Linked DNA regions of Danio rerio. The protein of the gene in region 1 purifies or fractionates together with the protein of each later gene. This does not show direct contact. Links are inferred from orthologs where the notes say so. Each region holds a gene or a part of one and is shown on either strand. Other genes may lie near its edges.

The links.
Region 2: the proteins of smurf1 (region 1) and smad6b purify together in Homo sapiens (affinity purification with western blotting; 4 studies listed by BioGRID). This does not show direct contact. The link is inferred for Danio rerio from reciprocal best matches to the Homo sapiens genes SMURF1 and SMAD6.

The regions. Positions count from the first base shown.
Region 1 is NC_133178.1:39,663,799-39,667,628, reverse strand, and holds part of smurf1 (E3 ubiquitin-protein ligase SMURF1), read left to right. Parts: intron 1-1; coding exon 2-240; intron 241-2,431; coding exon 2,432-2,516; intron 2,517-3,830. UniProt on the Homo sapiens protein: E3 ubiquitin-protein ligase that acts as a negative regulator of BMP signaling pathway. Mediates ubiquitination and degradation of SMAD1 and SMAD5, 2 receptor-regulated SMADs specific for the BMP pathway.
Region 2 is NC_133193.1:21,083,633-21,087,403, reverse strand, and holds the end of smad6b (mothers against decapentaplegic homolog 6b), read right to left. Parts: intron 1,685-3,771; coding exon 1,143-1,684; 3' UTR 755-1,142; downstream 1-754. UniProt on the Homo sapiens protein: Transforming growth factor-beta superfamily receptors signaling occurs through the Smad family of intracellular mediators. SMAD6 is an inhibitory Smad (i-Smad) that negatively regulates signaling downstream of type I transforming growth factor-beta.

The DNA.
Region 1 (3,830 bases):
GGCCAGTCTTTGAAGACTCGGGACCCGGACGGCCTCTCAGCTGCTTCATGGAGGAGCCCATGCCATACACCGATCCCACAGGAGCCGCTGGAGGGGGCAACTGCCGTGCACTTGAGTCACCCAATCAGGAACAACGGCTCCAAGCACAACGCATCAGAAACCAGGATTCCCGAGGGCACACGCACACCCCCCAGAATCGACCGCACGGACACCAATCCCCCGACCTCCCTGAGGGCTATGGTAAGCCTAACCACATTATGTGGCAAGATGGTCAGGAGTGGAGCTTATCAAAGAGTTTTTTATTGTCATTGTTGCTGCATTTAAAGGGACAGTTCACCCAAAAATTAACATTTATTCACCGTTCACTCATACTTAAATAGTTCTAAGCTTTTATACATTATAAAAAACATTTATTATACTATATAAATAGATGTTGTTACATCAATTATGAGTGTATACATTATACAACCAAGACATTTTGAAAAAGGTTGGAAAGCTGCAGCCATTGACATCCATAGGATGTTTTGTTCATAGCATGGATTTCATTAGCCTGTTTCACACAAAAATACCAGTAAATATCAGGAAAATTTTGTTATATGCGGAAAATTTCTAAAACGACTTTACCGGTAAATTCAAAAAAGCGATGTTCACACATCCATTAAAAAATTTTGGTCAATTCTGTCATCCTTATCCAGAAATGAGCTCTAAACATCTGCGTTTATATTTGTAAACATAGAACATCTTTTATTGATGGTTACACCTTTTTTTATAGCGTTAGCATTTATGCTTTGTCCCAGACAAATTCATAGGCAGAAGTGCCAATCGCAGTTTGACAATATCACAAATTGTGTAGATGGATAAGTGTTCTGAACAATTTGTTTAAAAATGTATGGAGGAACATATCAAGATGTACATAATATGTGTGTGTGCTGGCGCTCACCAGAGTACACCTTTACGTGCACACGCATCAAGCAACTGAAGCAGAGCTCGAAGGTAAATAAACAGAGGTTTATCGTAAGCATTTTAGCGATAATTTCTTCCACATTTGGCTTTAAGAAGCAACAGAGAAACATTATCTGACTAACATCTAGCAGCTAAATGTATCTCGAAAAATATTCAAAAGGCTTGTACTTTCATAAACAACGCAGATGTGAATGTGTCTGAATTTCCTGATTGGCCAATAGACGTCTTCCCAGCAACATTCTGGCAAGTTACTGGTAATGTTAAAACTTCTCTTTCCGGAAAATTGACGGATCGAATTTACCAGTATTATCAAAAAGGGCCTGTCCACACATGATCCCACATAATGAGCTCTTCAACATTTTTTAAAATATCTTCTTCTTTCGTGTTCAAACTGGTTTGAAAGGATACATAAATGATTGCAGAATTTTCATTTTTGGGGAACTGTACTATTTAATGTTCGTGTAGAGCAGGGGTGTTCAAACTTGGTCCTGGAGGACCAGTGTCCTGCAGATTTTAGCTCCAACTTGCCTCAACACACCTGCAAGGATGTTTCTAGAAAGCCTAGTAAGAGCTTTATTAGCTATCCCAGGTGTGTCTGATTGAGGTTGGAACTAAACTTTGCTGGACACCGGCCCTCCAGGACCAAGTTTGGACATGCCTGGTGTAGAGTGAGAACGAGTTTGTCATTCTGCCATCACAACAGTAAACAAATCGTTAGAGAAGAGATGTCATTGCAAAAGAGAGAGGAAGCTGATTTGACTGAATATCTAATGACCACTGCAGTATTGCTTAAAAACAGAAAGATCCATTTTATTTCCAAGGCACGCTATTGGGATTCAGCAATACTTTTCTAACAACTTCACCTTTAATGCACTTCAAATAAGCTGGTGCGAGTAATTTTTCTGTCATTATGTATAATCAGCAGGTCACTTGTTATAAAGACAGGGCTAGCTTTGTTCAATGGAAGTATATATATAAATATTTAACTACAAACACAAGTGGTTTTGCACATCCCTGGAGTGTGCACCTGATCTCTTACCCACAGTACAGTCGGAGTCTGCTGAGACTAATACAGCTTAGCGCTTTGGGTAGAGGCTACTGAAGTGCAGTGAACTGGAGAGACTGAGCTCTGAAAGGAGTCCATTCAGCCGGGCACTGCTGCTTTAGCTGAGCCATGTGGCCGCTGCAGCCTGCATTATACAGGTGGATTGACTGCGCTAAAGCCCCTCATTGGAGTGTAACTGTGTCTGACCCGGCTGGTGTTGTGGTCGGGCCCTTTGGCGTGATCGCCGGACGGCGCCAGTGTAATTAAATCTCAGCCTAGACATGCCACACTGGCTCTGTGCAGTCTGAGAACTGGAAGCCGGGCGTTCTGTTGCAAAAGCCCTGGCGCTCTTTCAGGTTTCATGTAAAACTGCTGTCTTGCTCGTTCGCTCTTGACGTGTGCCTCTTCTCTTTTGTACCACAGAGCAAAGGACCACCGTGCAGGGCCAAGTCTATTTTCTGCACACACAGACTGGCGTGAGCACCTGGCACGATCCCAGAATACCCCGGTAGGTTTAATCACCACCCGCCTTCACTGAAATAACGATTGTGCCCTTTCTGATTGCTTCTTGCTGCTATTGTAATATCGCTCTAATCGTTTAATGTCCACAATCAGCTAACTTGATAATCAGCACAATCATCTCACTTAATAGCTGCTACTGTTGACATTGTGAAGCTTAATAATTTGCTCGTCATCAGGAGAACGAGGAAAGAGACTTGAGGAAAGCAAGGCGGGAAATCAATACAAGTCAAGCAGACAAATGCAGGTGTTTTTTGTGTGTGTCGAAGGTTATTTTAGTCACTGTAGCGCGTGACCTCTTAAATTGGCACCTTCTCTTTGGCCCAATCACATGCTTGTTTAATCAACACACATGCGAGCATGTTTTGAAAAAGTTCAGAAACCGCCGACTGTTTGTTTTGATCTTCCATTGTGCCAACATCTCTTTACTAAGACAAGTCAGTCCACATGTTGGCCATGTTTGTAATGCCTTCAGGCAACTATTTCATATTTTAATAAAGTACTGAGTAGATTTTTTTTGTTTTTAGGCATGGTTGTATAAAATTTAAAAGCTTTTTTTTTAGTTTTATGTAATATATAGATTTCAGTATATAATGATGGTATATAGATATATATACAGTGCTTCCCACAGGTTTGAAATATACTTGCAGTGGTAGTCGGATTGAAACACCTTTTACTCTCAGCACATAAATGGTCAACTACATGCAACAAACAAAAAAGTGATTTTTATCTGTATTTTTTTAATATGATACTGGTTATAAACCTTTTTATTTCAGTAGGTTAAAGTAAAATAAAAAAGATGGTTAAAATAAAATAAATAGACTATTTCTCTTACTTTTATGCTATTTTATGCTCTCACTCTTTAAAGTTGCTTTATTGGCATGATATTTTGTACAGTATTGACAAAGCAAATATACAACAAACGTGAAATAACAGAAAAAAAAGGGAAAAAAATAGACAATATTGCTTAAAAATTATAATAATTACAAAAATATAAAGTGTAAATTATATAAATACGGCAAGATTTGATTGAAAAGTTGATTAACCATTTCTAATGTTGTAAAAATATATTGCAGCCTGTATAGATGGAGTATAGATAGTCATTTTGTTTTTTCCGAGTATATGGTTTATCTGAGTCGTTTATTAAATAATTAGTCATTTAATGTTTCTCTCCCTGCAAAATGGTAATGCAAAAACAACAAATAACGGTAACGTTAGAAAGCAAAAGCTGAATCCTGGACATTTTAGGAGATTCAGAAACTACATCCGGACGCATTTCGACGCAAAAGGCTCTGTGGGTCTG
Region 2 (3,771 bases), on another chromosome or scaffold:
CACTTTTCACAAGCCTGTAAGGATGTGTTTAATGGTCATCAGCATCCTTAATCCTTGACAGTTTTTAATATTTTGATTTTAAAAAAAAAGTATGAACACATATGAATTTATGTATGAAGTATATCATCTTTGTTTCAAATGATAAAAACCAAATTACCGCTTGTGCGAGGCGTTTCTAATGCAGCGTCTATGAGGCTGAGAGTAAATCTGATGTTGTTCTCTCCTCTGGTTGCCGTCATCATGCTCACACAATTTTTTTTCTTTTTTCTGTACATCTTTATAACATCATCATAGAGTTTTTCTTTTATTATCTGAGTAAATAAGATTTTTTAAAATATTTGTTGTATTCTCCCGTTCACTAAGTTTCCCAACTATGACGACTTCTGCTACTGAGAAACCCGGAAATGTGAAAAGAGTCTATTGCAGAGTGACACAAACAGCTTGCAGAAATATAAATGCACGGCTACACGCAAGGCATGCGCCGTGGGTCACTCTGATCACTAGACGCAGAAGTATAAACCAGCTTTAGTCTCTATTTCAGAGGTTGCACTGCAGAATGAACCACCAACTATTCCAGCATATGCCAGTATTGGGAAACACCCATTCACACTCATACACTCAGCGGTCTTGCTGTGAGGAGACAGTACTAACCACTGAGCCACCGTGCCGCTCCTTATTCTTCACCATATAAAATGTAATCATTAGAATCAGGCTTTGTTTATAAATGAGTAAGAGAGACAAAAAGGCAAAGCAGTATTATGCGAATACTTTATTATCAATGTGTGAATGGTGTTAGCTTTTCATCTGGATATTAATAGTATATGAAAACTATACACCAAAACCAGGCTCTTCCTATTTTTGCTGTATAATTTTTCAAATTGGTATTGAAAGATTCTTTATCTTTATAGATATTTATATATATAATATATAAGCCAAAGTGCATTTCCCGTTTTTTTTCCTCTTGTCCATGTACACATTGCACCATACATAAATAATTACATCGTAAAAATGACTCCAGTATTTACAAGTATAATATATATTTCTTATAATATATAAAACTTTATATTAAATCTAAGTAGATGATATTTGGGATTGTTTGTGGAGTCTCTCGGCATGAGCGAGTCCATGTGTTTATCCATGTGTTATCTGTGGTTGTTGAGGAGGATCTCCAGCCAACAGGGGCACGAAGTGATGAACTGGCGGGAGTAACAAGGGCCCCAGCCCTTCGCGAAACTGATGCGCACACTGTTCGGGTCATAGGGTCCGTCTAGCAGCTCCGACTCGGCTCCTTGCCTGAGCATGGACGAGCGTTCATAGTCAAACACTTTAATGGAGTATCCAGGCATCACCTTGCGCACCACCAGGCTTCGACTCCCTGGGACATCCAGAGTCGGAGAGTTGACGAAGATGGGGTGCTGGCTGCGGTTGTAAGCCCAGACTCCATCCGGCTCTTTGCTCAGGAGCAAGCCGTAGCCGATCTTGCCACGCGTCCGCTGCACGGTGCTGCTGCGCTGGTCCAGGCTCAGCTGGCCAAGGCAGAAGCCCGTACCTTGAGGTAGGTCATAGAAAATGCTGACGGCAGGCTGGTACACCGTATAGAGGCGGCCCACCCGTGTCCGATGCTCCCAGTACGCCACGTTACACCAGTGACTCTGCTTGGGGGCGTCAGGTGACAGACTGGCATCTGAAACAGGAAGAGAGAGAACACAGCTGTCACTCATTTGTCCCATAACACTGAAATAGACAGAGAGATGGTTTGTTATGTGGAGTTGAAGGCTGCACTGTTATGTGTGGCCTCAAGAGGGCACTACTTCAAAACTTAGTTCATTCAAATATTTACTAACACACTGAAAAGCTGAGAAATGGATAGAATGAGCGGAAGAAATATTATGACGTTAAAAAACCTGTTTAAGTCAAGTATATATGCCCTAAAAATTAAGCAAAACAACCAAAATCTAAATCAAAATGATCATTATTACTTTAATGGCTCAATCATGTGCTTCCAAAGACCCTGATTGTGTCTTAGCCGCACACACTTAATGAGACAGCTCACCCCAAAACAAAAATTTAGCCACTACTTACTCACCATCAAGTGGTTCCAAACCCGTTTCTTTTTTTTTGCTGAACATAAAAAGAAGATATTTTGCAGAAAGTTGAAAACAAACACTATGGAAATCAATGCTTACAGGTTTTCAACATTCTTCAAAGTATCTTAATTTGTGTTCCACCGAAGAAAGAACTCAAATAGGTTTTGAACACATGAAAGAAGAGTAAATAACTACAGAATGCATTTTCCTTGGTGAATTATCCCCTAAAATGATTCCACTTAGCAGTGCCACGTATTGCGTTCAAGTCTTGATCTGGAAAGAGAGTATGTGTGGAAGGGGGGGATATGTAAAAGCCATGAGCTCATATCCGGCGACAGCTCCCTCCCCCGTCTCCATTCTCCTCCACATTCCTGTGGGTGGGTGATGGTGGCGATGGTTTGGGTGGAGAGGGAGCGTCTCCTCCCGCTGTGGGCCTGGGGACAGCTTTCAGCTCCCTGACAACTTAGTGCAAGCCTTTGACCTCCTGACCCCCCAGGCTTCACGCTATCAGCTCAGATTAACGTGCATGCTGACTGATGCCATTAATTTGCTCCTGAGAGGCTATTGGCAGGGAGATTGCAAGAGCCAGGGTCTGTGGCTCCTTCACATTTTCTTGTGACTCTCAGGGTCATTCAGGAAATAGCTAACCACAAAATTAGCCTTCTGTCATCGTTTACTCAACGTCATGTCAATCCAAACCTGCATGCTATTAGATTTATGGTAGAACACAAAAGAGAAGATTTTAAGAAACTTTTTCTCTATATAACAACAGTTTACAAGCAAGGCTGTGAAGCTCCAAAAACAGCATTAACCACTAAACTGCACCATAAAATGACCAAGGTAATGCTTTATATTAGTTAGCTCTTTTGCAGAGCAGTATTTTGAGACCATAAATAGTATGACAGTATCAATGAATAAGAGTCACTGAAATCTTGAGTTTAAAGTGTTAGTTCCCTCAACAATTTATTCATTGATCTTTATAACCCAAATTAACATATTTTTGGTGAAATATGAGAGTCTCTAATGGTATCTGACATATTTACTATATATTCATAGTCTAATTTACAGTGTTCTTGGAGCTTTATATGATCATGGACTGTTTCGATAATATTTTTGGTTCCTTTTCTGGCCTTTGAATGTCTCTAGAAGGTTGCTGTCTATGAAGATTAAGAGAGCTGTCTGATTTTATCTAAATTATCTTCATTTGCGTTTTGAAGACGAACAAAGGCTTTTAAACGAATTAAGGTTGAGTAATTAATTACATCATTTGAATATTTGCCTGAACTAATCCTTTAAAACTTCACCTGTGAACATGACACTCTGAACATCCTGATAGCTGTCTAATTAATAATCTACCTGGGGTTCGTTTCCGAAAACCATCGTAAGCCAACAAATGTCTCAAGTAACATCATTACAAACATAGTTCATAAATTTGGCGTTTCCCAAATCCATCGTTCAAACGAACATTCGCACACTTCTAGTGCTGTAGTTAGAAGCATAGTTCCTGGTTCTTTTTTATTCCCAGTTATCCCCTTTACGCCTATCCATTTAGAGCGTTTAAACTTGGAATGATTTAAATAATAATAATAATAATAATAAATCTCTCTTAGGTGTAATTTGCTGTCAATGTATTCTTACAGTTTAGTTTTAGCGATCCTCATATTGACAATTGCGCTCCCTTCGC